2 linked regions of the Oryctolagus cuniculus genome follow. The protein of the gene in region 2 interacts with the protein of the main gene of each other region in a pairwise test. Links are inferred from orthologs where the notes say so. Each region holds a gene or a part of one and is shown on either strand. Other genes may lie near its edges.

The links.
Region 1: the proteins of RHEBL1 (region 2) and TXNL4A interact in a two-hybrid assay, tested with the Homo sapiens proteins (2 studies listed by BioGRID and IntAct). The link is inferred for Oryctolagus cuniculus from reciprocal best matches to the Homo sapiens genes RHEBL1 and TXNL4A.

The regions. Positions count from the first base shown.
Region 1 is NC_091441.1:289,183-303,798, reverse strand, and holds the end of TXNL4A (thioredoxin-like protein 4A), read right to left. Parts: intron 7,028-14,616; coding exon 6,924-7,027; intron 3,912-6,923; exon of another isoform or gene 3,909-3,911; coding exon 3,737-3,908; 3' UTR 2,961-3,736; downstream 1-2,960. UniProt on the Homo sapiens protein: Plays a role in pre-mRNA splicing as component of the U5 snRNP and U4/U6-U5 tri-snRNP complexes that are involved in spliceosome assembly, and as component of the precatalytic spliceosome (spliceosome B complex).
Region 2 is NC_091442.1:52,523,479-52,538,939, reverse strand, and holds RHEBL1 (GTPase RhebL1), read left to right. Parts: upstream 1-8,747; 5' UTR 8,748-8,996; coding exon 8,997-9,048; intron 9,049-9,577; coding exon 9,578-9,649; intron 9,650-9,998; coding exon 9,999-10,066; intron 10,067-10,334; coding exon 10,335-10,417; intron 10,418-10,501; coding exon 10,502-10,558; intron 10,559-10,734; coding exon 10,735-10,782; intron 10,783-11,114; coding exon 11,115-11,196; intron 11,197-11,345; coding exon 11,346-11,435; coding exon of another isoform or gene 11,436-11,442; 3' UTR 11,443-11,836; downstream 11,837-15,461.

The sequences.
Region 1 (14,616 bases), on a different chromosome or scaffold from region 2:
GAAACTGTGGAAACGGAGCCAATGCACAAGCCCACACCGATATCACCTCTGTATCTGGATTCAGAACTTATCTCGGTTGTGGCAAGACAAGTGGCTTTGGCATGATTTACGACTCCAAGGGTTATGCAAAGACAAATGAATCCAACACAGACTTGCATGGCCTATGTGGGAAGACTCCAAGGAAACAGCAAGGAGCAAGAACAGGAGGGAGGCCCAGGAGGCTGTCAAGGCCACAGGTGCTGGCAGAGTGAACTGGAGGGGCCGTGCTGTGGCACAGCAGGTGAGCCGCCACCTGCAGTGCCGGGATCCAGTCCCGGCTGCTCCACTTGCAATCCAGCTCCTTGCTAACGCACCTGGAAAGGCAGCAGCTGATGGCCCAAGTTCTTGGGCCTCTGCCACTCAGGTGGGAGACCTGGATGGAGCCGCAGCAGTTGCAGCCATTTGGAGAGTGAACCAGCAGGTGGAAGATCTGTCAGTCTGCCTTTCATATTTCTTTAAAAAGTGAGCTGGAGGAGCCAGCACTGTGGCATAGTGGGTCAAGCCCCAGCACCAGTGTCCCCTGTGAGTGCTGGTTTGTGTCCTGATGCACTTCTGATCCAGCTCCATGCGTGGAAAAGCAGCGGGCCCGTGACCTACGTGGGAGACCCAGCTGGAGTTCCTGGCTTCAGCCTTGCCCTGGCCAGGCCATCGGGGGAGTGACCCAGCAGATGGAAGATCTCTTTTTCTGTGATTTTTTTCAAATAAATCTTTGGGGAAAAAAAAAAAAAAGTGAGCTGAAGATTGGGGAACAGCAGAGTAGATTCTGCAGTGGATCTACAGTGATCACGTGATCTTCTTGTGGGGACTGATACACCATAAAAACTTAGAAAAAAGAATGCCAGGGGGAGAAGCATTCTCAAAGCTGTTAATAAAAGTCATGTAAAAGTTTTTTTTTTTTTTTTAAATAAAGAATTTATTTACTTATTTATTAGAGAGGTAAAGTTACAGAGAGAGGGAGGCCTTCCATCTGCTGGTTCACTCCCCAAATGGCCGCAACGGCCGGAGCTGCACCAATCTGAAGCCAGGAGCCAGGAGCTTCTTCCGGGTCTCCCTCGTGGGTGCAGGGGGCAAGGACTTGGGCCATCTTCTGCTGCTTTCCCAGGCCACAGCAGAGAGCTGGATCGGAAGAGGAGCAGCCGAGACACAAACTGCCACCCATATGGAATGCCAGCACTGAAGGCAGAGGCTTAGCCCACCATGCCACAGCACTGGCCCTCAAGAGGCAAGTCCTCATGTACTCATTCTATTTTTCTTTCCAAATTTGCACCTACATTTTGATAAGAAACCCAGAGAGTGCATCTTGGCCCTGGGTATGGCTCCTTAAGGTGTGTGTGGATGGTAGCGAAGGGCTCCACTGGTGCAGTCAGAAAAACGCAGCCCCCTGTGGACACGTGGTTTCACATCTGTTCCCCTAGTTCACCTGTCCACAGCTGTGGCTCTCACTCACTCACCACCGAGCAGCAGTCGTTTGAATTAATCTATTTTCTATTTGACTACTTGTTTCCAAACAATGCTGCAACACACGCTCGTGCCCACCTCCTTGTGTGTGCATGCCTGTCTCCAGGACCCGAGTTCCTACCGTCTGGAACCCAGGCTTACAGCCCCGCCAGCTCCTTCCCAGAGCCCCGAAGCAACGGGGAGCAGACGAGGCGAGGGCAGCCATCAGGTCAGCGTTCAAGTGCACATCCTCTGCTGCTACTTAAACTTGGGGCAATCTAAGCTTTAGTCTCTGTCTCTGCTAAGCATCTACCTGGTAGGCGTTGAAGGATTTGTGGAATTGACTTGCAATTTGCTTGCTTTCAAGCAAAAGGCAAGGTAGCATGTGAAGATGTGGCTCACGTCTGAGCCCTGGGCGGAGCATCCATGCACAGCCCAACCTACTTTTGGGGGGGAGGGGCTCTGCAGAGGTGACTAAGGCTCAATGTGGTTGTGGGTTGGGGCCCTGAGCTCATAGGACAATGGGCCCGGAGAGTCCCTCGCTCCTGTGGGGCTGTGCAGAGGCGCCCACACCCTCACCAGACACCTCACTAGCTGGAACCTCGGCCTGGCACTTCCAGACCCCAGAACTGGGAAGAACCCTGTTACTTACAATGCCCATCCATGGTGCTCACCCAGTGACATGTCTACAAGAAACTTAGACATGGAAGCCACACTAACATGTGACCCACACCCCCTGGGAACCTCCCATGGACAGTTCAGCGGTCCCCACACAGCCATGCACCCACCACCCACCTCAGACACCCACCCATCTCTTCCAGCTTGGGCAACCCTGAACTCACAGGCTCTGCATCTTCCCACAGCGGGGTGGTCTCAGGGTTCGTCCAATTGGTAACATCCAACAGCACGGTTAAACCGCCGGTGGACAGTCTCTTCAGCACAGCTGTGTGGACTCAGGTGCTCAGTTCTCTGGGCTCCCACCTAGGGTCCAGAGGCAGCACCAGGTCTGAGGCCCTGTCTGACCATCCTACAGCACCCCCAGCAGGGCAGCAAGGCCCCGATTCCTCCATGTTCCCAGCACCCCTCACTCTGGTGGCTGTGACACCATGCAAGGGCCTATACTCCTCATTGTACAGAAAAATGGATGAGAGTAAACCACAGGCTTGCACATTTGTATGTACAAAATTTCCCATTAAGCATTCCTTGTTTTAACCACCTCACCCTAACAACAGCACTACATATGTACCCACAAGCACAGCCTCACAGGTGTGAACACGTTTACAAGGTACTACTTACCAACAGGCACTGCTTCCTGTGTTAACACGTGTGTACGGAGAGCAGCCAAGGCAACTGCCCAGTTAGAAGAGCCTGGGTCTGAAGCCAGACAGAGGCCGCAGGGCACCAGGGTGCGCACGCCCTCTCATGTCACAGCGTGAACGCACACCGTGGAAGAGAAACAGGCTGCAGGAAAGACACCTTTTCCATTTTTTTTTAAGATTTATTTATTTATTTATGTGAAAGGCAGAGAGGGAGGGAGGGATAGAAATGGGGATCTCCTGTCCGCTGGTTCACTCCTCAAATGCCCACACCAGCTGGGGCAGCGCCAGATTGACGCCAGGAACCAGGGACTCCGTCTGAGCCTCCACATGGTGGCAGGGGCCCCAACACCTGAGCCATCCACTGCCTTCCCAAGGGCACTAGCAGGAAGCTGACCAGATGCAGCGTAGCCAGGGCTCGAGTGCTGCGGGTGCTGCCTTAGCCCGCTGGGCCGAAGGCCTGCCCTGAAAGGGACTTCACCATGCGGACAGGACACAGTGTGCCTGAGGCCGTGACGACAGCGCTGCCAGCCCCTGTGGGGAGAGCAGCATTCTGGACGAGCCTCAGGACCGCACACTGCAGCCCCACCCAGCAACAGGTCAGCCCAGACGCAGTCAGTGGCGGGAGCTCGTGCTGGGGCAGCTGGGGCAGGTGGGCCGCCGTCCATCGTGGCTGTGTCCTTACGGAGGCGCGCAGGAGGAGGCACCAGGAGCCAGGCAGAAGACCCTGTGCCACGGCCTCAGACAGAGCCCAGGCTGCCCCGTGGGCTTCCTGCCTCCACAGCTGGACACAACAGCGCCTTCCGCAGACGGCTAAGCACGCGGAGCAGGACGGCCGGCTGGGCGCTGCAAAGAGCTCCAGGCCTCGGGCGCGGCTGTTTCCCAAGGCCTGAGGCGCTCTGCACCATCCCCGCGCGGGGACGGCCCCATGGCTTCGCCGAGGCTCAGTACCGGTACTTGGTGGAGTAGTCCTTGGGAGACACAACCAGGCCGCGGCCCTTGCGGGCACCGCGGTACACGGTCTCGGTGATGTCTACCATCTCCTGCTTGTCCTCCATGGCCCAGTTGATCTTGTTGTTGTTGCCGGTGCCCAAGTCAATCATGATGTGCTTGTTCCTGGGGAGGAAGGCATCGATCCCATCAGGATCCCAGACCTGCACGGAGACCCGCCCACTCCCCCGCTCCTAGTGACTCCCATCAGGATCTCAGAAAACCTGCACGGAGACCCGCCCACTCCCCTGCTCCTAGTGACTCCCATCAGCATCCCAGAACCTGCACGGAGACCCGCCCACTCCCCTGCTCCTAGTGACTCCCATCAGGATCTCAGAACCTGCACGGAGACCCGCCCACTCCCCTGCTCCTAGTGACTCCCATCAGGATCCCAGAACCTGCACGGAGACCCGCCCACTCCCCTGCTCCTAGTGACTCCCATCAGGATCCCAGAACCTGCACGGAGACCCGCCCACTCCCCTGCTCCTAGTGACTCCCATCAGGATCCCAGAACCTGCATGGAGACCCGCCCACTCCCCCGCTCCTAGTGACTCCCATCAGGATCTGAGAACCTGCACGGAGACCCGCCCACTCCCCCGCTCCTAGTGACTCCCATCAGGATCCCAGAACCTGCACGGAGACCCGCCCACTCCCCTGCTCCTAGTGACTCCCATCAGGATCCCAGAACCTGCATGGAGACCCGCCCACTCCCCTGCTCCTAGTGACTCCCATCAGGATCTCAGAAAACCTGCATGGAGACCCGCCCACTCCCCCTGCTCCTAGTGACTCCCATCAGCATCTCAGAACCTGCACGGAGACCCGCCCACTCCCCCTGCTCCTAGCGACTCCCATCAGGATCTCTGAACCTGCACGGAGACCCGCCCACTCCCCTGCTCCTAGTGACTCCCATCAGGATCTGAGAACCTGCACGGAGACCCGCCCACTCCCCCTGCTCCTAGCGACTCCCATCAGGATCTCAGAACCTGCACGGAGACCCGCCCACTCCCCCTGCTCCTAGTGACTCCCATCAGGATCTGAGAACCTGCACGGAGACCCGCCCACTCCCCCTGCTCCTAGTGACTCCCATCAGGATCTGAGAACCTGCACGGAGACCCGCCCACTCCCCTGCTCCTAGTGACTCCCATCAGGATCTGAGAACCTGCACGGAGACCCGCCCACTCTCCCCTGCTCCTACCGCTTGCTCACACCCTTCCAGGACACAGACTCTGCTGCACAACACAGCTCGCTCGGTGCTGTTTTTCCTGGGCTATCAAATACCCTCCAGGGCAACTAAAGGTCAGGACACACGAGGGCCACACTGGTCCACCTGGAGAAGCACCGGAAGGTTCCACAGTGCTCTGAGAGACGCTTAGCATAAACTCTACCCAAAGACCCAGACCTGTGAAATTAAAATGACATTTTGCATTTCTGTGATCAAGGAAGTGAAAGATCTTCACACACTGCACCTCCCAGGAGCCAGACCTCCTCCCTGAGTTTGTGCTCTCATAGGCCCTTTGTTTTATTTGAGTCTTCCCGGGTTTGCCAAGGCGAGACGTTCAGTGACTCCTATAGGATCACAGGTCTGGCCTCAGGGGACGGCTCCCGTGTGGCCTCCTTTCGACAGGGTGAGCCATGGGCACATCTGATGCCCCGCTCCGCTTCACACGGTCACGTCCAGGACAGCCTTCCCACGCTCGCTGGGATTTGGACACCTGTCTCCCACCCCCTCTTGCCTGCTCCACGTCAGTCATCCCTCACACATGCAGGGGGGCACACTGAGCTCACTCCCCTCTGGATCTGGGCTGTGCTGCACAGAGGATGGCCAAGCGCCTGGGCCTCTGCACCTGCATGGGAGACCCAGATGGAGTTCCTGGCTCCTGGCTTCAGCCTGGCTTGGAGAATAAACCAGTGGATGAAAGATCTCTCCTCTTTTATCATCTGCCTTTCCAACAAATACATAAATATTTTAAAAAGGAAAATAAACCCTCAGACTCTGCAGATGGCAAATACGCTGAAACCAGGCAAGACCAAGGGTGGCAGACCCCAGTCACAAGCGAAAGGGGTGAGCCAGGAACCCCTCCCTGCTCGTGGGGCATCCCGACTCTAACACTGGGGACGGCCGAGAGGGCTACCGCAGGAACCAGGAACAAAGGACCCAGAGGCAGACACGGCTCATGAGGCAGGGAAACTTGGGTACAGGCACCAGTCTGCCGGGCCGTGGATCGGCGCCTCCCTCCCAGTTCTGTTTCCTGGGCCCATCCAGGATGTGGGGCAGTGGACTCCCTTCCCTCTCGGTCTCTCAGGGCCGCACAGGTGCAGTGGTGTCTGCAGAGCCTCAGCCGGCCCGAGGGACGTGAGGCTGCGGCAGAGGCGCCTGCAGGCAGCACACTCCTGGTGGGCGCACACTGAGACCCCACGCCTGTGAGCACTGGAGAGGCCAGGCGGGCTCCCAGTCTTAGCTGATGTGACACACAGACTGCGCTGGACCACCTGAGCCACTCCAGTGCCCAGAGCAGGGCTTCAGGTCCAACTGAGACTGTGAGAGTGACTCGACCGGCCAGCGCCTTCCCAGCCAAGCAGGGCACAGCGACCGCAGACCCACGAGCACAAGGAGCCGGATGAGCCACAGCGGAGAGCAGCCCAGCCGCGGTTCTGCCTCGTGCGACCGAGTCCTGCAGCTGACCCTGCCCAAAGCCTCACCAGCAGGCCTGCGGGCACAGAGCACACACCCCGGCTCTGCTCCCCTTGGGAGGCGCCCATCCCAGAGTGTGGCCGGTGCTCTCACTGCTGCTGGCCAAGCTGTTTCCAAATAACTCAACAGAACTCAGAGCGGAGAAAACATGCTTTAAGCAAAGCCAACTGATAAGGACACTAAACAAAGGTGCTGACGTGGTAACTGGTGAGTGACGCCGGCAGTGAGAGTAACTTCTCTATTTCAATGGCACCCTGCTGGCCTTCCTGGCCACTTTACTTCAAGAGGGGAACTTGTTACTGAGTAAACACGGAAACTGGAACTGTACTTTGACAATTACTGAAGACTCACAGGGATCCCCTGGCCACGTGACCACATAACTGGCTTGCTCCTGCAGGACTGCTGATCACGGCCAAGCTCAGACCACCCGTGCGTGAGGTCAGACATACCTGAAGAAAAACATGACCGTGCACGGGTCGTACAGCTCGTACATCTTGTTGAAGTCGGGCACTTCTGTGATGTCCACAAGATAAATAACCGCAAAATTTTTAACCTACGAGAAAAAGAAATTAAGAAAAACTAAAATTACAGATCCATTTGGCTCTCATTATGTTAAAGCACATTAAAAAAACAAGACTCTGTGTCATAACTGGACAATTTTCAAATGAATTCTCCAGCACTTCCTGCCCAGTAAGCTAGCACACAAGGAAACCACACAACACCGTGAGGAGCTGGCTTCTGACGATTCACTCTGGCGTCTCTCACAGTGCCTTCACAGTGTGGCACTCACGGGAGATCCCGAAAGCCCACTGAGCTGCCACAACTGGGCTTGCATGCTGAGCCACTGCTTTAAACCACACGTGTGCAGACCTCAGCCGTCCACGACCTTCCAGCCGTCCCGGACTGAACATCTGCCAGTACCAACAGGACCCCAGGTGATACTGTACACATTTTCCGTGATTTTTTTCTTTAACTGCAAGTTCATCAGAGAATATATTTAGAGAAAACAGAAAAATATAAAGAAAGTAAAATCACCTCCAGCCTCAATACCCGCAGGTAACTGGTCTAATTCCTCTGTTACATTTCTCTTCTACCTCTTTTCTCTAATTCTTTTGCCACATTTCCCCCCACTTTCAGGGCATGTTAAAAAAAATTCTATGGGACAGTGCTGTGGTGTAGCTGGTAAAGCCACCACCAGCAACACCGGCATCCCAAATGGGCATCAGTTCGAGTCCTGGCTGCTCCACTCCTGATCCAGCTCCCTGCTAATGGCTGGGAAAGCAGCAGCAGATGGCCCAAGTGCTTGGGACCCTGCACCCACGTGGGAGACCTGGAAGAAGCTCCTGGCTTTGGCTTGGTCCAGCCCCTGGCCGTTGTGGAAAACTGGGGAGTGGACCAGTGGATGGAAGATCTCTCTCTTTCAAATAAATAAATCTTTTTTTTTAAATCAACTAGAAAATTTAAAGATTCTATGTGTACTGTTTCTATGAAATGTGATCATACAGTTGTCAGACTACAAGATTACGTATCCTGCTTTCATTGTGATCATTCCCTTAACAAATTACCCATCTTCCAGAAACACAAGCTTCTACATCTTATTTCACCAGTGGCCATGTTGTTACTATCCTGTTACTTTGTTTCTGATTTTTCATGACTCAATCAAATGTTCCATTAACACTAATGCTACCTGTGAACTGTACCCTTATACTGTTTACACACTCCATCATTTCCTAAGGATGAATTCCCAAGAGAACCTCTGGACCATGGAATATGACATCTGTAAGGCTCAAACAAATACTGCCAACACCCTCCGGAAAGCTTACACCACTTCCGTGTGTTGAGCAGGGCTGTGTCCACACTGCTACATATAAGGTCCAACCTCAATGCCGAGCGTGTGACTTCTCCAGGAACAGCAGGTGGGCCCCCATCACCAAGTGCTGCGCACAAGCTGTGGGGCCAAGGAGGACAGGGTGGGTTCCACCCCGTGGAGGAGGCTCTCTCCCAGGTCCTGGGAGCACACCCCTGCCCCTGACTCTGGATGTCAGGTCTCCACACTGTGAGCAGACCCGGCCTGTGACGTTTTCTGGCAGCCATGGGAGACAGGCACCCACCCACATTTCTTTCCAAAGTCACTCTAACATCCAACTCTAACTTACAGATGGGATAATGTGGTAACTGGGATTTGCTTTAAATGCTGCAGCATAATCAGGGCTAGACAACATGAGAATGGCAACGTATTAATAACCACTGCAGCCGAGGACAGGAACAGAGGGCTCATTACACACTCCTCTCTACTCCTGGGAATATCTGGACTCCATGTGTTCTCCAACACCCCACTGAAAGCTCAGAGGCCCCCAGAGTCAACGTGGTCCTTCAGTCAGTTGCTTCTCAGCATCGCCAACCTCCCGGCTTAAAGCGGGAAATGACACAAGGAGCCCATCTTCTTCAGAGTGGTTTAGTATCTATTTTGTAAATGATGACATCCAAATACCTAACTCGATGATCCCATGTAATTTTCAAGACGCAAATCCTCATTTTATACAACCTTTAGAAGCAGGCTCTCCCTTTTCAGTAAGAACCTTGTAGACCACCCAGAGGAAGATCCGCCACCACCGAGCGACAGCACAGCACCCACTCCTCTCTCGCTTCCCGTGTAGACTGAGCATGGCTTTGGGCCTCCCAGAGGTAGGAATGTCTGCCATGTCCACAGACATGTCTCGTACACACGTGTGCTGCTAGGTAAGTATGTGTTACATGAAGAGCTTTTTAACATTGAATGTGTTCAAACTCAAGAAACACATTGTCACTGAGAATGATTTTGGAGAGGACCATCATCCTGCCCTACGAGCCAGTTCAGTCCATGCCCACTCAGGGGCCATGCCCGGGTGGTAGAATGAGAAGGCCATGCCAAGATGGCCGCAGGCAAGCAAGTGTCAGAATGGCTCTGAAACCCACATGGCAATGGAGCCTGCCTGGCAACAGGCTGTGATTGGATGACTTTGGAAACCACATGGCAAACGGAGCCTGCCTGGCAACAAGCTGTGATTGGTTAGAGCATAAACTGCCCCTTGACCGGATTGGCTGCCTTGGCTATATAAGCTGCTGTAGCAACTGAAATAAACGAGTCTGCAGGCTGCCAGCCTCTGGCCCCTTTCACCCAACTCCCAGGGTCTGTGTGGTGACTCCGCGCCTCTTGCCCCCACCACACTCCTCCTCTCAGAAGAAATCAACTGCAACATCTGGTGCGCCAACATGACTGAGAGAGACAGCGTGTCGGACTCGGCGAGGTCCCCCCTTGATTTCGGCAAGTGGGCCCCTCGGTGTTTTGTGTGCTGTTCGGTTCTGTGAGGGTGAGCACAGAACCCCTCCTACACCCCTTTCCTTGTCCTTGTCCTCGGTCTAAGTGACCCCAGGTTAAGCACACACTGCCCAGAAGCGTACGCCGCTTCTCAGCTCCTCTTACTTTCGGTTCACCTGGTGAATTCACATAAGGGACTGATCATCCCAGAATTCGGAACCAAGTCATCTTCCCTCACTTTAGACAGGTGATGCTCCGGAGACACCGTGTGGGCCTATGGCCTTGACCTAACGAATCAAGGAAGTCCCCCACTAAGCACAGGACATACTTACGATCTGACACACAGCACTGTCTGGTCATCTAACGTAGGGAACCCCTGCACAATGCCGTCAGCCGCTGAGGTGCTAGGAATTTGCTTTGTTATGGCAGCAGTGCTGTGCGTGTCTTTCCTTTGGCTAGAGTTGGTGTGGCGCACTGCTCTTAAGTGCTCAAACATGGGAAAGATACCCCCCTCTCAGAAGCGCACGCAGATTACCAAACACAGTGAATCTGTGAGTGATAAGAGCCTGTCACTCCAGGTCCCTGTCTTACAGGAAACAGTTGATGACTTAGGGAGAGCCAGGACAGTGAAAATGACAATGTAGCAAACAAGGTAACAAACAATGTAGCAACGCCAAGTCAGCCACCCCCCAAATACCCGTGGGATGACTTAGAGGACCTAGAGACAATAACCCATGCGAGGTCATCCCATCCGCACCCAGTGAGGGTTCCCACATTTGTGGCAGTACTCAGGCACCCGAGGCTCTCAGGGCAGCCGCTAGACCCCATCCCACCTGCATGTTTGCCGTAAATGTAGGAGTGGACACAGAATTCAGGCCCTGGATTCCAATGCCCTTAGAAAGGCTTCTGGTAACCAAGGGCCGAGGATATGCTTGTCTTTCCAGAGGATGCGGGACAGCCCATTTGGGTACCACCCAGAAACATCAAGCCTGCAACTGACAGCCAACCAGAACCAGCTGAACAAGACTAAGAATCTGCCTTGTTAGCGGACGCACCTGCCCTATCATCCTACCCTGAGGAACTGCCCATAGCCACATCTGTTACTGTTTTATACCCCACTAGCTCTGGCCAACCACTCAAATGGCCCACAGCCTGTGTGTGCTCATGCCATTCCAGATAAACATTGTTCCTCATTCCTACCCCCATCTGAGCAAGCACTCTTGTGGTCTCTGGATTTGAGTGCTGGTTAGTCAACAATGGGTAAGATCCCCTGGGAGACAACCTAAGACAGGCACAGCTGCGTATGGAGACCACATGGAAACGGGGTCAACAATGGTATGGCCAAGAGTCATGCCTCCTGTTGCTCAAAAATAAACAAAAAGGGGGAAATGTGGTGGAATGAGAAGGCCATGCCAAGATGGCCACTGGCAAGCCAGCGTCAGTTACTCACGAATGGCTTTGAAACCCACCTGGCAACGGAGCCTGCCTGGCAACAGGCTGTGATTGGTTGGGGCACAGACCACCCCTTGACTGGGTTGGCTGCCTTGCCTATATAAGCTGCTGTAGCAACGGAAATAAACGAGCCTGCGGGCTGCTCACCTCTGGCCCACTTTCACCCGCCTCCCGGCGTCTGTGTGGTGATTCTGCGCCTCTTGCCCCCGCCACGTTCCTCCTCTCAGGAACAAATCAACCTCAACACCAGGGCAGGAAGTGGACACTCCCCAGCAAGAAAGGAACCACCCCGAAGCGTGCACACCCGGCGCGGGCAGGCCTGCCGGCCAGCAGCACCTCAACCTCTGCTCTGGAGCTCCAGGCTGCAGCCTGCCGGGCGGTTCGCTAGACCCTGGCGCCTGCCTCCTACATGGGCTGAACACAGCTGACAGGGCCAGTCCTCCCAAACATTTCACTACAACTCCTAGGTATGTTTTACATAGAACTGAAATGAAGGTAGGTGTCCACAATTTTTCTCCATTTCTGAAAACAGAGAAATGGAAAAAACCACTGCTTTGTACCACCCAGTACTGTAACTGTAAACAAGCTTTTACAGGACAGTCAAGTAAAATCAAGTGTTCTACAGTGGGCAGTGCCTCCCGTTCCCCAGGCTGCCACACCCGTGCTTTTACGCCAGCCAACAGTGAAGTTCTGGGGGAAAACCCCTTCCAAGCAGCCACCTGACGGCTTCGGCCGGCACGGAGCTGCGGAGCCCCTCCCCCTCACTGCGCAGCGTGCTGCTGCCCACTGTGAAGTTCTCACAGCATAAAAGCCCCCTTGCTTGAGTGACTGGAGGGCCCGCAGACCTACAGACCGCTTTCCACACAAGGGTTCCACATCTCACTCCCACCTGGACACCACACCGATCACCACCCAACCACGAAGGGCCACACTGCTTGAATGCATCTTCCTCTAACCTTTGCAATGTCTCTTTTTCACCTACTCCTGGTACTTTAAATGTATCTATTTGTGTAAGCCTGTATGTATCTAGTCATAAAAGTCTGTATCTAAAATAACATTTCACCTAATACTTTTGCAGTAACTTCCGCTGGTTGCTGAATTGTACAGGAGGCCTTCAAAAAGTTCATGCAAAATGAGCATTATAAAAAAATGATGCATGGATTTCAAATTTGCACCAACATTACTTAATTTCCATGAACTTTTGAAACACTTTGAAATGCACAAATCTCACTTATTTGTACTCCATAACTTCAGTCTATCAGGTTGGGTTCTTGCTAATTTGTGTTTTAAAAGGCAGAGAAACAACACAGAGAGTGAGAAATCTGATGGTTCACTCCCCCAAACAACTCCAACAGCAGGACTGGGCCAGGCAAAACCCAAGAGGAAGAAACTCAACACAGGTCTCCCCAGGAGCGGCAGGGACTCAGCCACTGCAGCCTCCACCGGCTGCCCCCAGCTCTGCACTAGCAGGAAGCTGGCACTGGGGGCACAGCCAGGACTCAGCCCCGGAAACCCCGACGTGAGGTGCCAGTGCTCCACGCAGCAACTTCATGCCTGCCCATACCCCACTGGTTTAATGTTGATTCTCTCAATCACAACAACAGTAAATGTCTGTTCTAACACTTCAGTCTGTTTTTCTTCTGAGAAAAGCTACTTATCAAGGAAGGAGTTTATCATGGCTCAGTCTTGGGGGTCCAGTTCAAGCTCAGGCAGGTCCACTGGTCTGGCCTCTGGTCAGGCCACTGCACTGCAGCGGTGGATCGGGCAAGGAGCAGAAGGGCTGGGCCTGACTGAGGCTTTCCCAACAACCCTCTTGCAAGAACCACCTTCCAAGGGCAGCGACCAGGAGCCAAGGACCTCTCACCAGGGCCTACCGCTCACCACCTTGTTTCTTTTTCTGAGAGGGGGAGGGATCCCCCAAGTACCTGTAAAGGCCTGGGCTACAGGGAGGAGCTGGGAACCCAACACAGGTCTCCCAGGTGGGGGCCAGAAACTCAACTGCTCCCCCAGAATCACTAAGTGATAACCAGGTTTCAACACCCCCAAGAGCTCGGGAGCCCAGTCTTGTTAACACCACGGTAGCCCTTCTAGGAGCCACACAATCCACCTCCCCATTAAAATGAAGCACTTGGGGCCAGGGCTACAGCTTGGTGGGCAGTGACATCACATCCCATACTGGAGCGCTGACTGGACTCCTGCCCCACTTCTTTTTTTTTCCTTTTTTAAAAGACTTATTTGTTTATTTGAAAGGCAGAGTTACAGAGAGGCAGAGAGAGAGAGAGAGAGAGAGAGAAAGGTCTTCCTGGTTTATTCCCTAGATGGGTGTAACGGCTGGAGCTGTGCCGATCCAAAGACAGGCCAGGAGCTTCTTCCGGGTCTCCCACGTGGGTCCAGGGGCCCAAGGACTTGAGCCATCTTCTACTGCTTTCCCAGGCCACAGCAGAGAGCTGGATCGGAAGTGGAGCAGCTGGGACTTGAACCGGTGCCCAAATGAGATGCTTGCACTGTAAGAAGTAGCTTCACCTGCTACACCACAGCACCAGCCCCGCTCCCTTTTTTTCCCTTAAAGGTTTTATTTATTTATTTGAAAGGTAGATTTACAGATAGAGAGAGAGAGGGAGGGGAGAGAAAGAGAGATCTTCCATCTGCTGGTTCACTCCCCAAATGGCCGCAATGGCCAGAACTGGGCTGATCCAAAGCCAGGAGCCAGGAACCAGAGCTTCTTCTGGGTCTCCCACATGGGTGCAGGGGCCCAAGGACTTGGGCCATCTTCTACTGCCTTCCCAGGCCATAGCAGAGAGTTGGATTGGAAGAGCAGCAGAATACGAAACAGCATGCATATGAGATGCCAGGGCCACAGGCGGAGGCTTAGCCACTACGCCACACTGCCAGCCCCCCATCCCACTTCTGATCCAGCTCCTTACTAATGCTCCTGAGGAAGCAATGCAAGATGGCCCAAGTGCCTGGATCCTTGCCACCCATGTGGGACACAGATGGAGTTCATGGCTTCCTGGCTTCAGCTTGGCCCAGCCCTGACCACTGCAGCCATCTGAGAAGAGAACCAGAAGATGGAAGATCTCTTTCTCTCTGCCCCTCTGCCCTTCAAATAAATCTTAAAAAAAAAAAAAAAAACTTAGAAAATGCCTGTCTGAAGGCTACCCTGATGGCAATCACCCACCCACGTGTTCATAGTTTCTCAGCCAAACATGAATCTACCCAAACTTCTAGGAAAAAGGGTCTGGGCAGTTGACCAGGACCACGGACTTCTGAAGCCTCACTTTTTACATTCTGGGGGACGGCACTGTGGAGCAGCGGGTTGAGCTCACGCCTGCAGTGCCGGCATCCCTGTGGGCAGGGGCTCAAGTCCTGGCTGCTCCACGTCCAATCCAGCT
Region 2 (15,461 bases):
TTAGAAAGCACTGTTCTTTCTTCATGGTACTGCCCTAGCTCCCAAGAAGCACAAAATTCCTTTGCTTACTGCACTGTTTCCTAAACCTTGCATATTTTCAGGACTATGCCCTTAGCACTATGTCAAATATGATTAACTATTCAACATTTTCTCTATTCTATTGGGCCTCCCTCCCTCCCTCCCTCTCTCTCTTTCTTTCTTTTTTAAGATTTACTTATTAGGGTTGGCAATATAGTGCAGCAGATTAAAGCCTTGGCCTGCAGCACCGGCATCCTATATGGGTGCCAGTTTGAGACCCGGCTACTCCATTTCTGATCCAGCTCTCTGCTATGGCCTGGGAAAGCAGTAGAAGATGGCCCAAGTCCTTGAGCCCCTGCACCCATGTGGCAGACCTGAAAGAAGCTCCTGGTTTTGGATAGGCTCAGCTCCAGGCGTTGTGGCCATTTGGGGAGTGAACCATTGGATGGAAGACCTCTCTCTCTTTCTCTATCTCTCTCTCTCTCTCTGGCTCTACCTCTCTGTAACTCTGTTTTTCAAATAAATAAAATAAATCTTTTTTTTTTTTTTGACAGGAAGATTTAGACAGTGAGAGAGAGAGAGAGAGAGAGAGAGAGAGAGAGACAGAGGTCTTCCTTCCGTTGGTTCACTTCCCAAATGGCTGCTACGGCTGGCGCGCATTGCCAATCCCAAGCCAGGAGCCAGGTGCTTCCTCCTGGTCTCCTATGCGGGTGCAGGGCCCAAGCACTTGGGCCATCCTCCACTGCCCTCCTGGGCCACAGCAGAGAGCTGGACTGGAAGAGGAGCAACCGGGACAGAATCTGGCGCCCTGACTGGGTAAAATAAATCTTTTAAAAAAATACTTACTTATTTTTATTTAAAAGGGAAGGTTAGAGAGAAAGAGAGAGAGCCCCTATACACTGGTTCACTCCCCAAAGGCCACCATAGCCCAGGCCAGGGCCCCAAGTATCTTGGCCATCTTCCTCTGCTTTCTCAGGTGCATTAGCAGGGAGCTGGATCACACGTTGAGCAGCCAGGACTTAAGCCAGAGCTCATATGGAACACTGCATCACAGACAGTGGCTTAACCTACTGTGCCACACCATCTTTGGATTTTCTTACTACCAACTTTAGCTACTTCTAAGTAAGTTATGTGGGGGTGTGTGTTGGGGGGCAGTGCTGTGGCATATAGCTGCCACCAGCAGTGCCAGCATATCATATAGATGCTCCACTTCCTAATCCAACTCCCTGCTAATGTGCCTGCGAAAGCAGTGGAAGATGGCCCAGGGGCTTGGGCCCCTGCATCCACATGGGAGACCCGGAAGAAGCTCCTGGCTCCTGGCTTCGGATCAGCCCAGCTCCAGTGCTTGCAGCCATTTGGGGAGTGAACCAGTAGATGGAAGATTTCATACTTTGTTTCTGTCTCTCTCTCTATGTCTCTGTCTCTCTGTAGCTCTGCCTTTCAAATAAATAAATCTTGAGGGGGAAAAGTAAGAATATTTGAGGCCAGTGCTCTGGTGTGGTGGATAAAGCCACTGTATGCAATGCTGGCATCCTATATGGGCAACAGTTCATGTCCTGGCTGCTCCACTTTTTATCCAGCTCCCTGCAAATGGTCTGGGAAAAGCAGCGGGAGATGTTCCAAGTGCTTGGGCCCCTGCCAGCACCCTTGTGGTTAAGCTTCTGGCTTCAGCCTGGCTCAGCTCTGGTTGTTGTTACCATCTGGGGAATGAACCAGCAGATGGAAGATCTTTCTGTCTCTCCCTCTTTGTAACTCTGGCTATCACATAAATAAACAAATCTTAAAAAAAAAATCTGTGAAGCCATAGCTTATAAATAAATTAACACATCTTCTATTTTGTTTATTTTAAAGGCAGAATGACAGAGAGAGAGGGAGAGGCAGAGCCCAGGCGCACGAGGTGAGTGCTCTTCTATTTGTTGGTTTACTCCCCAGATGGCAGAAGCCAGGAGCCAGGACTTCTTCTGGGTTCCCACATGTGTGCAGGGGCCCAAGCACTTGGACCATCTTCCACTGCTTTCCTAGGCTCATTAGCAGGAAGCTGAATCAGAAGTGGAGAAGCTAGGACTCAAACCAGCACCCATGTAAAATGCTGGCATTGTAGGCAGCTGCATAACCCACTAAGTGATAACTCTGGCCTCAGAAAACAAATTTTTTTAAATTACTTTATTTATCTGAGAATCAGAGTTACAGAGAAAGAGGGAGAAACATCTGTTAGTCCACTTCCCAAATGTCTCAGTGGCCATAGCTGTGCTGATCTGAAGCCAGGAGCTTCTTCCAAGGTTCCCACATGGGTGCTTTCAAGTTGATATAAAAAATTAAAAAAAAAAAAAAGAGAGAAAAGAATGAAAAAAATGAATAAAGGGCATTTGGCCTATTTGGTTAAGATTGCCCATATCCCACATTGTAGTACCTGACTTCAGTTTCCTACTAATGTGGACCCTGGAGGCAGCAGTGATGATCCAAGTAGTTGGGTTCCATTTACCCATGTGGGAGACCTGGATTGGGTCCTATTGTGAACATCTGGGGAGTGAGCCAGGGGATGGGAGCTTTCTCTGTCTATCTGTTTTCTTTCTCTATATCATCTATCTATCTTCTATCTTTCTACATTTCTATCTCTATCTCACTATCTCTGTATATCTATCTCTGTTTCATTATCTCATCATTGCTATTTTTATCATCTCTGTGTCTGTTACACAAACAAACAGGGGCCATTACTGTGGCACAGTGGGTTAATGCCCTGGCCTGAAGCACCGGCATCCCATATAGGTGCCAGTTTGAGACCCGGCTGCACCACTTCCGATCCAGCTCTCTACTATGGCCTGGGAAAGTAGTAGAAGATGGCCCAAGTCTTTGGGCCCCTGCACCCAAGTGGGAAGTCTGGAAGAAGTTCTTGGCTCCTGGCTCCTGGCTCCTGGCTCCTGGCTCCTGGCTCCTGGCTCCGGATCGGCTCAGCTCTGGCTGTTGCTCCCAACTGGGGAGTGAACCAGCAGATGGAAGACCTCGCTCTCTTTCTCTGCCTCTCCTCTCTCTGTGTAACTCTGACTTTCAAATAAATAAATAAATAAATCTTTAAAAGCAAGCAAACAAAACCTGGCTGGCTTATCAGAGAGGGAGTGGGGAATAAACATTTGGACCCTCTATCTTCCATCTCAGTGCTTCTACTAGCAAAACCTAACTAGAAGCCAATGGCGTTAGTGCAGTTCACTAGGGATGCCTTCCAGGAACAGATACAGGATGGAAAAGGGGAGAGAGGACCTGAAGAAGCAAATGGAAGGCATCAAGTTAACAGGAAGCACAACTCTGAAGTTTGGGTCTTCAGAGAAAAAGGCTTCAGATTAGAAAAGAGGGTGACAGCACCAGAAAGTACCTTGTTAGCTCATTTTTTTTTTTTTTGTAAATTTTATTTCTTTATTTTCATTTGTTTTGAAAAAGCAGAGAGACAGAAATATTTTATCTGCTGGTTCACTTCCCAAATGCCTGTAACAGCCAGGAGCCTGTCGGGTAGTGGCTTAAGCTACCGCCTGCAGTGCCGGCATCCCATATGAGCACCAGTTCAAGTCCTGGCTGCTCCAGTTCTGATCCAGCTCCCTGCTAATGCACCTGGGAAAAGAGCAGAAGATGGCCCAAGTCCTTGGGTCCTTGCACCCATGTGGGAGACCCTCATGAAACTTCTGGCTTCAGCCCGGCCCAGCCCTCCTGACCATTGCAGCCATTTGGGGAGTGAACCAGGAGATGGAATCTCTCTCTCTTTCTCTCTCTCTGCCTCTGACTCTCTGTAACTCTGCCTGTCAAATAAAAAAATAAATCTTAAAAAAATGGTCATTTTAATTGTTAGGCCAAGAACCCACTCTGAGGAACTTTTAGCTCTTCTGTTCCTGGTAGAGCTTCCAGGTGACTGTAGCCAACTGAGTGTGGCCAGCAGAGGAAATGGAAGAACCCCAATCAAACTCACAGAATACTGAGAAATCATACATCCTTTAAAGATTTACTTATTTAGGGACTGGCACTGTGGCATAGCAGGTAAAGCCACTGTCTGCAGTGCTGGCATCCCATATGGGTGCCGGTTGGAGTCCTACCTGCTCCACTTCTGATCCAGCTCTCTGCTATGGCCTGGAAAAGCATTGGAAGATGGCCCAAGTCCTTGGGTCCTTGCACCTGCGTGGAAGGCCCCGAAGAAGCTCTGGCTTTTGGTTTCTGATCAGCACAGCTCTAGCCATTGTGGCTGTTTGGGGAGTGAACCAATATCTCTGTCTCTCTGCCTCTGCCCTTCTGTAACTCTGCCTTTTAAATAAATAAATAAATCTTTAAAAAAGTTTTTTTTTTAAATCGTCTTTTTAAAAATATTTATTTATTGGCCGGTGCCGCGGCTCACTAGGCTAATCCTCCGCCTAGTGGCGCCGGCACACCGGGTTCTAGTCCCGGTCAGGGCGCCGGATTCTGTCCCGGTTGCCCCTCTTCCAGGCCAGCTCTCTGCTGTGGCCAGGGAGTGCAGTGGAGGATGGCCCAAGTGCTTGGGCCCTGCACCCCATGGGAGACCAGGAGAAGCACCTGGCTCCTGCCATTGGATCAGCGCGGTGCGCAGGTCGCAGCGCACCGACCGCGGCGGCCATTGGAGGGTGAACCAACAGCAAAAAGGAAGACCTTTCTCTCTGTCTCTCTCTCACTGTCCACTCTGCCTGTCAAAAATAAAAAAACAAATTTATTTATTTAAAAGGCTTAATGAGAGAGAGAGAGAGAGAGAGAGAGATCTTCCATCTGCTGATTCATTCCTCAAATGGCTGTAATAGCTAGGACTGGCCAGGCTGAAGCCAGGAACCAAAAACTCCATCTGGGTCTCCAATGTGGATGGCAGGGATCCAATCCAATCCCTGGGTCATCGTCTGTTGCCTTCTCAGGGACATTAGGAGAAAGCTGGATCATAAGTGGAGCAGTGAGGCCAGTGTCGTGGTGCAGGGGGTTAAGCCACTCCCTGTGATGTGACATGGGCATCCCATATCTGAGTACCATTTCCAGTCCCAGCTGCTCCACTTCCAATCCAGCTCTCTGTTAATGCATCTGGGGAAGCAGAGGAAGGTGGCCCAAATGCTTGGGGCCCTACACCCACATGGGAGACCTGGCTCCTGGCTCCTGGCTTCTGCCTGGCCCAGCACTGGCCATTGCAGCCATCTGGGGAGGGGGGGTGAACCACCAGATGGAGGAGCTCCCTTTCTCTTGTTGTCTCTGCCTCTCTTTCTGTAACACTTTCAAATAAATAAATCAATCTTTAAAAAAAAAAAAAAAAAAGGCGGCAGAAGGGAGCATCTGGATGGAAAGTGGAGCAGCCAGGACTCAAACCTGCACCCATCTGTGATGCCAATGTCTCAGTTTTTTTTTTTTTTTTCTAACACAAGTTATTTATTGTTTACTATGTAGATTGTTGGTCTTTCCTGAAAGGATACTTGTATCTTCCCAGCAAAAATTTTACATTGTTCACTACTGTATCCCAGCACCAAGAAGGTACCTGGGACTTGGGAATAGTTTAATAAATATTTGTTGGCAGATGTATGAATAAAACCAATTATCAACCTTAGAGCTGCTGTTGTGAATATTAAGGTTTTGTTGATTTATTTTTGAGAGAGAGAGAGAGAAATCTTCCATCCATTGGTTTATTCTAAATGCTTCACAAATAGCCAAGGGTGGGGCCAGACCAAAGCCAGGAGCCAGAAACTGCACCTGGATCTCCCACATGGTTGGTAAGAACTCAGAACTTGTATCATCTGCTGCCTTCCCAAGCCCATTAGCAGGAAGCTAGATTGAAAGCAGAGAAGCCAATCCTTGAACTGGCATTCTGATTTTATATATATATAGCACCAGTGTCTCATGAAGTGACTTAACCCATTGTACCATAACATCCACTCCTGTAGTGAATATTAAAAGAGGTAACTCAATTACCTGGCTTATAGTAGAACTCTATAAATTTAGGTGTTTTCCTTCCTCTTTTCCTCTCCCTCACTTCCTCCTACACAATCCTTCAGCAAGTCAGCTTGACCACAGCTTAAAAACATAACATGGGGGCAGGCGTTGTGGCACAGTGGGTTAAGCTGCCACTCGGATGCTTGCAGCCCATACTGGAGTGCCTGGTTCTAGTCCCAGCCACTCTATTCTTCCTATTCAGCCTCCTGCTAATGTACCTGTGAAGCAGATGATGGCCTAAGCACTTGAGTTCCTGCCACCCATGTAGGAGACCCACATAGAGTTCCTGGTTTACCCCTGGCTGTTGCGGGCATTTGGAGAGTGACCCAGCAGATGGAAGATCTGTCTCTTCTCTCTGTGTCACTCTGCCTTTCAAATAAATAAATGAATGCATCTTTTGTGAAAAACCCTGGCTTTTCTGTTCATTCATCACCACCACTGTAGTCAAACCACCTTTGTAGCTCACCTGGACTTCACCACTCCACCTACCAATCTATTAGCTGATCTCCTGGCCCCCCACTCCTAATCCTTTCTCCACATTCCGAGAGATCTTATACAAAAACAATTCCAAATCATCTCACGACTCAGTTTAAATATCTTCTGGTGCTTCAAATTAGCTCAGACCTTTTTCATTTAAAATTTTAAAAAGATTTCTTTATTTGAAAGGCAGGATTATGGGGAGAGAGACAGAGAGAGCAAGAGGGATCTTCCATCCACTGGTTCATTCCCCAAATGGCTTCAACAGCTGGGACTGGGTAAAGCTGGAGCCCAGATCCTAGAATGCCATCCAGGCCTCCGAAAGGCAGGGAGCCAAGGACTAGAGGCATCTTCCGCTGCTTTCCCAGGCTCAATGGCAGGGAGTTGGATTCACAGTAGAGCAGCGGGGACTGGGTGCCATTGCTGTGGAAGGCGGCTTAACCCGCTGCACCAAAATGTTGGCCTCAGCTCAGACTTCTTAGTGGCGGGGCCTCTGTCTTCCTCTTCAGAGTTAATCTGGGTGCCAACGTCGCGGCTCAATAGGCTAATCCTCCGCCTTGCAGCGCCGGCACACAGGGTTCTAGTCCCAGTCCAGGCACCAGATTCTGTCCCGGTTGCCCCTCTTCCAGGCTGGCTCTCTGCTGTGGCCGGGAAGTGCAGTGGAGGATGGCCCAAGTGCTTGGGCCCTGCACCCCATGGGAGACCAGGAGAAGCACCTGGCTCCTGCCTTCTGATCAGCGCAGTGCGCCGGTCGCAGAGCGCCAGCCACGGCGGCCATTGGAAGGTAAACCAACGGCAAAAGGAAGACCTTTCTCTCTGTCTCTCTCTCACTGTCCACTCTGCCTGTCAAAAGAAAGAAAGAAAGAAAGAAAGAAAGAAAGAAAGAAAGAAAGAAAGAAAGAAAGAAAGAGAGAGAAAGAAAGAAAGAGTTTATCTGGGGACTGGCGCTGTGGCATAGCCGGTAAAGCTGCTGCCTGAAGTGCTGGTTCGAGATCTGGCTGTTCCTCTTCTGCTCCAGCTCTCTGCTGTGGCCTGGCAAAGCAGAAGATGGCTCAAGTCCTTGTGCCCTTGCAATCGGGTGGGAGACCCAGAAGAAGCTCCTGGCTCCTGGCTTCGGATCAGCGCAGCTCTGGCCCTTTAGGGAGTACTCTAAATAAGTAAATCTTAAAAAAAAAAAAAAAAAAAAAAAAAAAAAAAAAAGAGTTCATCTGGTTTAGGCTAACTGGCTGTCCCGCTGGTTCCTGGAATTAACAGAATTAATTTTCATTTTAGCACTTTTTAGCATTCTTGATTCCTGCTTGAGAATCTCTGGCTAGTCGGCTCCTCATTGTTATTCAGATTTGTTTAAATGGGGCTTCCTCTGAGACTATCACTGATCTAAAGTGATCACTCCTTTTTCATACCCACTTTTCCTTATGTTTATTTCTCCCCCAGTATATTTTTTTAAGATTTATTTATATATCTGAAAGATTTACAGAGGGAGAAACGAGAGAGCGAGATCTCCCATCCATTGGTTCGCTTTCCAGATGGCCACAACGGCCGGAGCTGGGCCAGGCCAAAGTAAGGAGCCAGCAGCTTCCTGCGGGTCTCCCCTGTGGGCGGTAGAGGCCCAAAAACTTGGGCCATCTTCGGCTACTTTTCCAGACCATCAGCAGGGAGCTGGAATGGAAGTGGAGCAGCCGGGACCCACACGGGATGCCAGCGTTGCAGGCGGCGGCTTAACCCTCACGCCGCAATGCCGGCCCCGGACCGCCCAGATTTTAAATTTCTTGAAAACAGAGACTCTACCTGTCATTTCCCTTGCTTTAACCCTCAAGTTGGAGCAATGTCGTGTATGCTCAAAACATATTTGCTGAATAAATGAATTATGATGACGACGATGACGAAGCCTCAGACCAACTGGTCACAAGTTATAGTAATTTTCTCAAGAAATGCAGTTCCGAAGTTAGATCCTGGAAGACTGGAGACCAGGTAACAAACGCCACACGCCTCAGGGTGGTGGATGGAAGACATCGAAACTCTGGCTTCTTCCCTCCTATGCAAAAGTAGGCCTAGAATCGCTTGACCAGAAACTGCAGTTGCACCACAACTGGCATTTTCTTCGCAGCCACTTCAGCCTGGCAGCAAACGCGCAAACACCTCTAGGACCCCGGGTTCCTTTCTGTTTCTTTATGAATGAACCGGCTCCAGTGCGCGCATGCGCATCTCGCCGTTCTCCCGTTCCACGTGAGGCCCACCCTTCCCTCCTGCTGGAGACCCCGCCCTCATCCATTCTAACAGACCAATGACAAGCGGCCTTGGGGGCGGAGCCGGCGCGGCCAGGCACTGTAGTTCCCCCGGCGCCCGGCTCCCTCGCGCTAGTCGTGCTGTGTTGTGATCACGTGGCCGGCTCCGGGCGCGGCGCTTGTTTTGGTTTCCTCCAGCTTGCCCTGCAAGCCTCGAGGTTAGCTGCTTTCTTGCACCGGTTGCCGCACCTGCAAACGCCCTGGTCTCGGGTTCCTCGGGCTCCGCCCGTGCTACCCGAAGCCCTCTCGGGGCGGGCTTCTGCCATGCCGCTGCTCCGCTACAGAAAGGTGGTCATCCTCGGATACCGCTCCGTAGGTGAGTCTCCGCCCTGCGGGAGCACGGCCGCACCCCGCGTGGTGGCCGGCGGAGGCGCGCTGCCGCACCGGGAGAGCAGAGACAAGGACTGAAAGGGTGGAGGAAGAAAGGCTGGCGGTGTGTGCGGGGCTGCAGGCAGCCGGAGCACGCAAGGGTTAATGTGGGCTTGGCTGCAGGGAGAGCAGCAGGGTCTCCGGCGATACTCTGGGAATAAGGGTTGGGGTCGATTGAAGACGGTGGCGGGGCGGGAGGCGGGAGGGCGCGGTCTGCTTGGGGCAAATAGTCGCAGGTGCCCTGGGGCGGGGAAGACTTGATCCTTGGGGAACCTGGATCTTCTGGGGGGTGGGGGTGGGGGGGCGGAAAGGCCGCCTGTGGTGCTCTTGAATGCAGCCTGTAGTGCCCAGACTGGTGTGGGCGATGAGAAGAATCGCTGCTTGAGACACTCAGACCGGCCCCCGCTCCTTTGAAAGAACAAGAGGGTGTGACTGTGGCTGGATGATGTGGATACAGCTATCTTTGCTCCCCACAGGGAAGACATCCTTGGCACATCAATTTGTGGAAGGCGAGTTCTTGGAAGGTTACGACCCCACAGTGGAGAACAGTGAGTCAATTTCTACCCTGATGTGGCTGGGTTGGAACTAGTTGGGCTTAGCTGTTCCATCCAGCGTTATAATTTGGGATTTCTCTGGTGTCAAGGAGTGGATTTGTTCAGACATTGCTTCTAGCAGTCTTGTTTTATGATTGGCTAGCATGTGGATTTTGCAAGATAACCTCGTACACGAAAGTAGGGATATAGACAATAAAAACCTTGCATGTGTTTCCCGTTTCCTGGAGAGCTCCCTGGAGCTGGTCCGTCTGTGTCACTTTCACCTTCAGGGTTAAGGATGCATGGGGGCATACATCTCTAGCCCTGCAAGATGTCTCACAGTCAAGTTTTCTTTTCTTTTCAGCTTACAGCAAGATAGTGACTCTTGGCAAAGATGAGTTTCACCTACACCTGGTGGATACAGCAGGGCAGGTACCAGTTGGGGTAGGGTTTCCATATGTAGCAGCTCAGCCCTAGGTGAGTCTGCTAACCTCTGGTGCATGTGTAAAGTAGCATCAAAAGAAAAACATGTAAGCCACTAACAATGTGCTAGGCTCAGTGCAGCTGCTCCAAACATACTTGTTGAGTAGAGGTGACTAGAGTAGGGAATGCCCCAGGGAGGGTTAAGTGGATGCTGTCCCACCAACCTTTGCCATCTGAGAGGTGTGGATCTAAGGTGCTGATGTTTCTTTCTCGGTAGGATGAGTACAGCATTCTGCCCTATTCATTCATCATTGGCGTCCATGGTTATGTGCTCGTCTATTCTATCACCTCCCTGCATAGGTGAGTGACCAAGGTTGTGGAACTTGGGTGGATCTTACAGTTGTCCCAGAACTGAGGTTATAGCTCCATTTCTTGTATTTAAAGCTTCCAAGTCGTTGAAAGTCTCTACCAAAAGCTACATGAAGGCCATGGGAAAACCCGGTAAGTGGCCCTGAGGGTGGGCAAGGAGCAGAAGGAAGAACTGTGTAAGTTAGAGAGGAGGCTGGGACACAGATCCTGTGGCAGCCTGGTGGGGAGCTGTCTACCTTGACTTCAGGGAGGCTGGGGTCCACATCGATCAGGAAGAGAACCTTGCAGTAATTGCTGTTTCCTTACAGGTTGCCAGTGGTACTAGTGGGGAACAAGGCGGATCTCTCTCCAGACAGGTGTGAGTCCTTGCTACCCAGGGTGGACAGCAGTGAGCTGGAATGGAGCTCAGCAGAGCTGTAGCCACAGACCCAAAGAAATCGTTTCACCTCTTTGCTTTGCTAACTTAAAGGTTAACAGGATATAGCCCTTGAAACGCAAAAGCAGGTCCCTATTTCAAACCTAAGTCCATGGTTCACCCATGCTTACTTTGTTTACCTGCATGTTCTTCCTTCCTCAACCCTCATCCCAAACCGTGGGTACATGGGACAGGTTAGAGGAGGAGGGCTAGAGAGCACTTGGGGGTCATTGCCATCTTCCCTCCATGCTGACTTTCCACACTTGTTCGCAGAGAGGTGCAGGCAGTTGAAGGGAAGAGGCTGGCAGAGTCCTGGGGTGCGACATTTATGGAGTCATCTGCTAGAGAGAATCAGGTGCTGGTCCTGATGATTAGAAAGGTGTTGGGTGGTGCTCTTCTTAGAGCATTGCTGGGGGTGGGAGGGTGGGGTGTTTGCCTCTGAACTAGGTGGTCTTGATTTTGGACTCACTCAGTTTTTTTGCCTTGCATCTATATCCCTTATAGCTGGCTCAAAGCATCTTCACCAGAATCATCCAGGAGATCGCCCGGGTGGAGAATTCCTACGGGCCGGAGCGGCGCTGCCTCCTCATGTGAGCCCTGAAGCACAGGATGATGGCTTCAGGTCTGCCCCTGGCATTTGCCAGGCTCCAGTGGTCCAGGGCAGGGCCAGCAGGCCCTCAAAGACTTCACGGGTACTGTTGCCACCGCGCAGTGTGGCACCCTTCATGTGTATACACTTTCCCTGGGCTCCAGCAGCCTGGGCGTCACTGTTTACAGTGGGGCAAAGATGTGGGTGGGCACTGGCCTCTGGCCCCTGTTTTTTGCTGTATGAATTCTGTTCTAACCAGCAGGGCTGGGATGTGGGAGTCCTGGTCCCTGTTTATCCAGGTCCATTCCATCCTGTGTTGGTTGGGTGAGCTAAGCTGGAGGCACAGGAAGCAGAGCTGGCTCCCTGGGATGACAATGTACATATGCAAATAAACTAAGAACTCTTTTGTTGTTGACTTCTCTGAATCTGGGGAGAGTGCCGAGCCAATGGCTCCTCTTCCAAGCAGTGATGGCTGTGACCTATGGGGAGGTAGGGGGAAGCGTTCCTACCCCCATTGCTTCCTTTCTTTTAAGCACAGTTACCCTGAAACTTAACTACTTACCTTCCCTACCTTTCCATTCTGCTGGGTTCTCTGTCCCCTCGGCCGCCACTCCCACCAGTTTGTAGGCACTGGAGATCCCCTTCCCTACAGAAACACCACCCCCTAGTGGCCAGATGCCACTTGCTGACCCAGCCATCCTGGTGGGGCCTTGGCATTTGCTAGGACCAGAGGGAAGGGTTTGGGAGGAACGAAGTCCCCCATGCCTGAGTTTGTGGCAGTGGAGGAGACTAGAGGCAGGCATTAAAAGTGTTGTGAAGATCTGGATTCCCAAGAGTTGAGTAAAGGAAGAAATAATGTCCCTGGTGTATATCCCTGGTGTGTATCTCCCTGCTGCCCCCTTTCCCACTGCCTTCCATTAAAATGGACTTTGCTCCTCTCATACGTTTGGTAATCTTTTGGTAGCTTTTACACCATTGGAGTTGCCCCATCTTTTGGTAACAGGTTACTGCTTCTGCCTTTTCTTACCTCTACCACCTCAGGAGCAGGATGAGAAGTTCAGCCAGGAAGGTTTGGTCCTGTTTGCCTCTAGTTTACCCGACCCTTCCTCTTCCAAGGACTTCTAAGGGTTCTCTAAATGGTGCATTTTTACAGGGAAGACACGGACCTCTCTTGCCAACTGTGAGAAGCGTTCCTACCCCCATTGCTCTGTCCGGGCACTTACTTGGGGAGACAGGACAGAAGCTATGTGGGATTTTTTTTTTTTTCTTTTTTGCTGAGACCCAGCTCTGGCTTCTGGTTGGAGCTGGTGGTTTGTCATGTTGGTTTTCAAAGGTCCTGCCAGCTGCTTTGGCTTCTGATTCAGAATATGAAAAGAAAGGAGATGTTCGAAGAAACATAAAGAATCGTCTCAGTTGCCTATAAGGTTCTCCAGGGTTGTCACCAACTTCTCACATTAAAATCATGTCCATTTGCATCTCTGGCCTGGTGTACTTGTTACAGGGACCCACCCACCCACTGCCGCTTCGAACTCTAGCGTAAATTTACAAACATCTGAAGTTTTCTAATAAGCCATCTCCAGGCATGAAGACAGTAAAGAAAAATGGCTCATAGCTGGTTGATGGCATCTCCACCTAGATGTGTGAACTTGGGCATTCGCTTAACCTCTCTGAGTCTGTTTCTCATTTATGAAGGATGCTTCATAAATCTGCTTCATAAATCTGAAGTGACAAACACTTACATATTGTGATATGTAATGCCAAGCACAATTCTTTATATATAAAACATCAGAAACAGTGGCCGACAACTCCTGAAGGCCTTTCCGACGGTGACCTGGTTCTCCTTGCCTCTAGGCACATGAGAGTAGGGAGGGGGTACCTTCCATTTTCCAACATCTGTCTCTTGGTCAATTTAATCTACCGCAGCTGAGACAGGGGCAGAGTCACTGCTGGAGTTGGTTGCTGACCTAGGTGCTCAGCAGAGAACACGGTACTGGTGTGTAACAGGGGGCATGCCGGGTCCCTATCCTTCCTCTAAACCTGGCCGGTAGGGAGTAAGGTTTCCCGTCCAGGAGGAAACCACAAACTACATATGGCTAGTTATGCTTAACTTGGTTAAAATGAAAAGTTACCCATCTTCAAGGTGCTCGATGGTGGCAAATGGGTACTACATCAGACAGCGTCAGAGTGCAGCAAACCCTTTCTCACAAAACCAGCTCTGGACCCACACTGCCTGCTTCCTTCTCCACCATCTTCCTAGGAAAAACACGGCCCTTGGTTTGAATCACGGCCCATCTCTTCATCAGTGATAGGCAGCTCAAGCCATGTAACTCTTAAGAGAACATCTAAAGAGTATAGAAAGTATCTAACACATAGGTAATTTGTCTCCTAGCTGCCCCACGTGTAAAGTTCAGTCTTCCCAATCCTCTCACCTAAAGTTAAGGAGGCTGGGGGTGGGGGGGGGTGGGGGGAGGGCAGGGTGCCTGCCTGCAAGGAGTGTGTTTTGGGACCTTGTCTAGAGCGACAGCGCGCTGGCCAGGTATCAGCAGCGAGCCGACCTTCGTTTATTGAAAAGGGACTGGAGATGGGGGTGGGGGCACCGTGCAAAGGTTAGGGGAGCTCTCCATGTATGCTCTGGTGGGTCTATGTGTGTGTGCCCGCGGGCTGTGCGGGCATTCACAGCCCTTTCCCCACGAGGGGCTCTGGGAGCCGGAAGGAAAAGAGCCAGCATCGTCCGGTTTTCCTCGGGGCCCCTCCGGAACGTGGCAAGAACCCACGCCAAGCGCCGTGCCTCACTTTCTCCATTTGCGGACTCCAGTTCCCAGGATTCCGAGCAGCGGCCAATCTCCTGGCTCTCTCCTTCCATCCCCCTCCTCCCGGGAAATACTGCCCCTGGCCAAGGCAAGGGGGACAGTTCAAAAAGAGTTGCAAGGGCCAACGACTGCCAAAGGGACGGCATCAGAAGGCGGCCCGGGGTCCCGGGGCTCACAGACCGGGAGGCACAGGCGGCAGGTCCCGGCCCCGGCGCGGAGGAGGGGGCTCGGTTCCCACGTGTCCGCGCCGCCGCCGCCACCGCCGCCGCCGCCGCCGCCCGGCACCGCCGGGGTTAACCCGCGGCGGAAGGATCCGCGGCGTGTGCGTAGAACTGCAAAGTCACAGCCCTTCCTCCGCGAGGGCCGAGTCCCTCCGCCGCCCCGCTCCAACACAAAATAGGGCCGCCTCTCCTCCTTTCTCCCCCCCGTCTTGAGTGGGGTTCTCCGGGCAAGAGGCCCTCCCGGATTTCGCACCGGAGGCTTCGCGAATCTCCACGACCGCCGCCCAGGTCTCGGGCCAGGAAATAAGCCCCTTCGGAGGAACCACCCTACCGGCCGAGCAGGAGGCGGAGGGGGTGGGGGGGAGGCGGAGCGGCGCCGCGCTGCACTACTTTCCTCTCCGGTTGCAAATGGCTGCCTCGTTCCCCACTTTCCGCTCAGTTTCCTGACCCCCCGGCGCCGGGAGCCGGGGTTGGGCCATGCACCTCTAGGCCCCCCGCGACCACAGCCAGCCGGGGGTCGAGGGGGTGCCGCTGACCGGAGCCGGCCAGGCCGGGGGCGGGGCAGCTCCCGAGGCCAGAGGGGAAGGGAGGCGAGCGCTGGGCCTGGAGCGGCCGGCGGGGAGCGGGCAGAGGGCTCGTACCGCCCGCCCCTTCCTCTTTCTCGCCCACCTACCCTCCTCCTCCCTTCCCGGGGTGGGGGGGCCGGGGAGCAGAAGGTGGGGGGCTCGAGGCCGCCGAGGGCGAGCGCTCGGGGTCGAGGAGCCCGGCCGCTGGGTGTGTGTCAGGCTCAGCCCCGCGGCCCCGCCGGCTCCGCGTCGCCGCCGTAGCTCGCGCGGCCCCGGGGCGCCGGCCCGGGGCGGGGGAAGAAGGGCTCGGCGCTGCGGCCGGGGGGCGCTGCGGCCGGGGGGCTCCGCTTTGCTCCGGCCCGGGCGCGCGCGGCGGCGCGGCGCTCCTTCCGGGCTGCGGGGAGGCGCCTCGGCGTTCCATCTGGAGAGCCCCG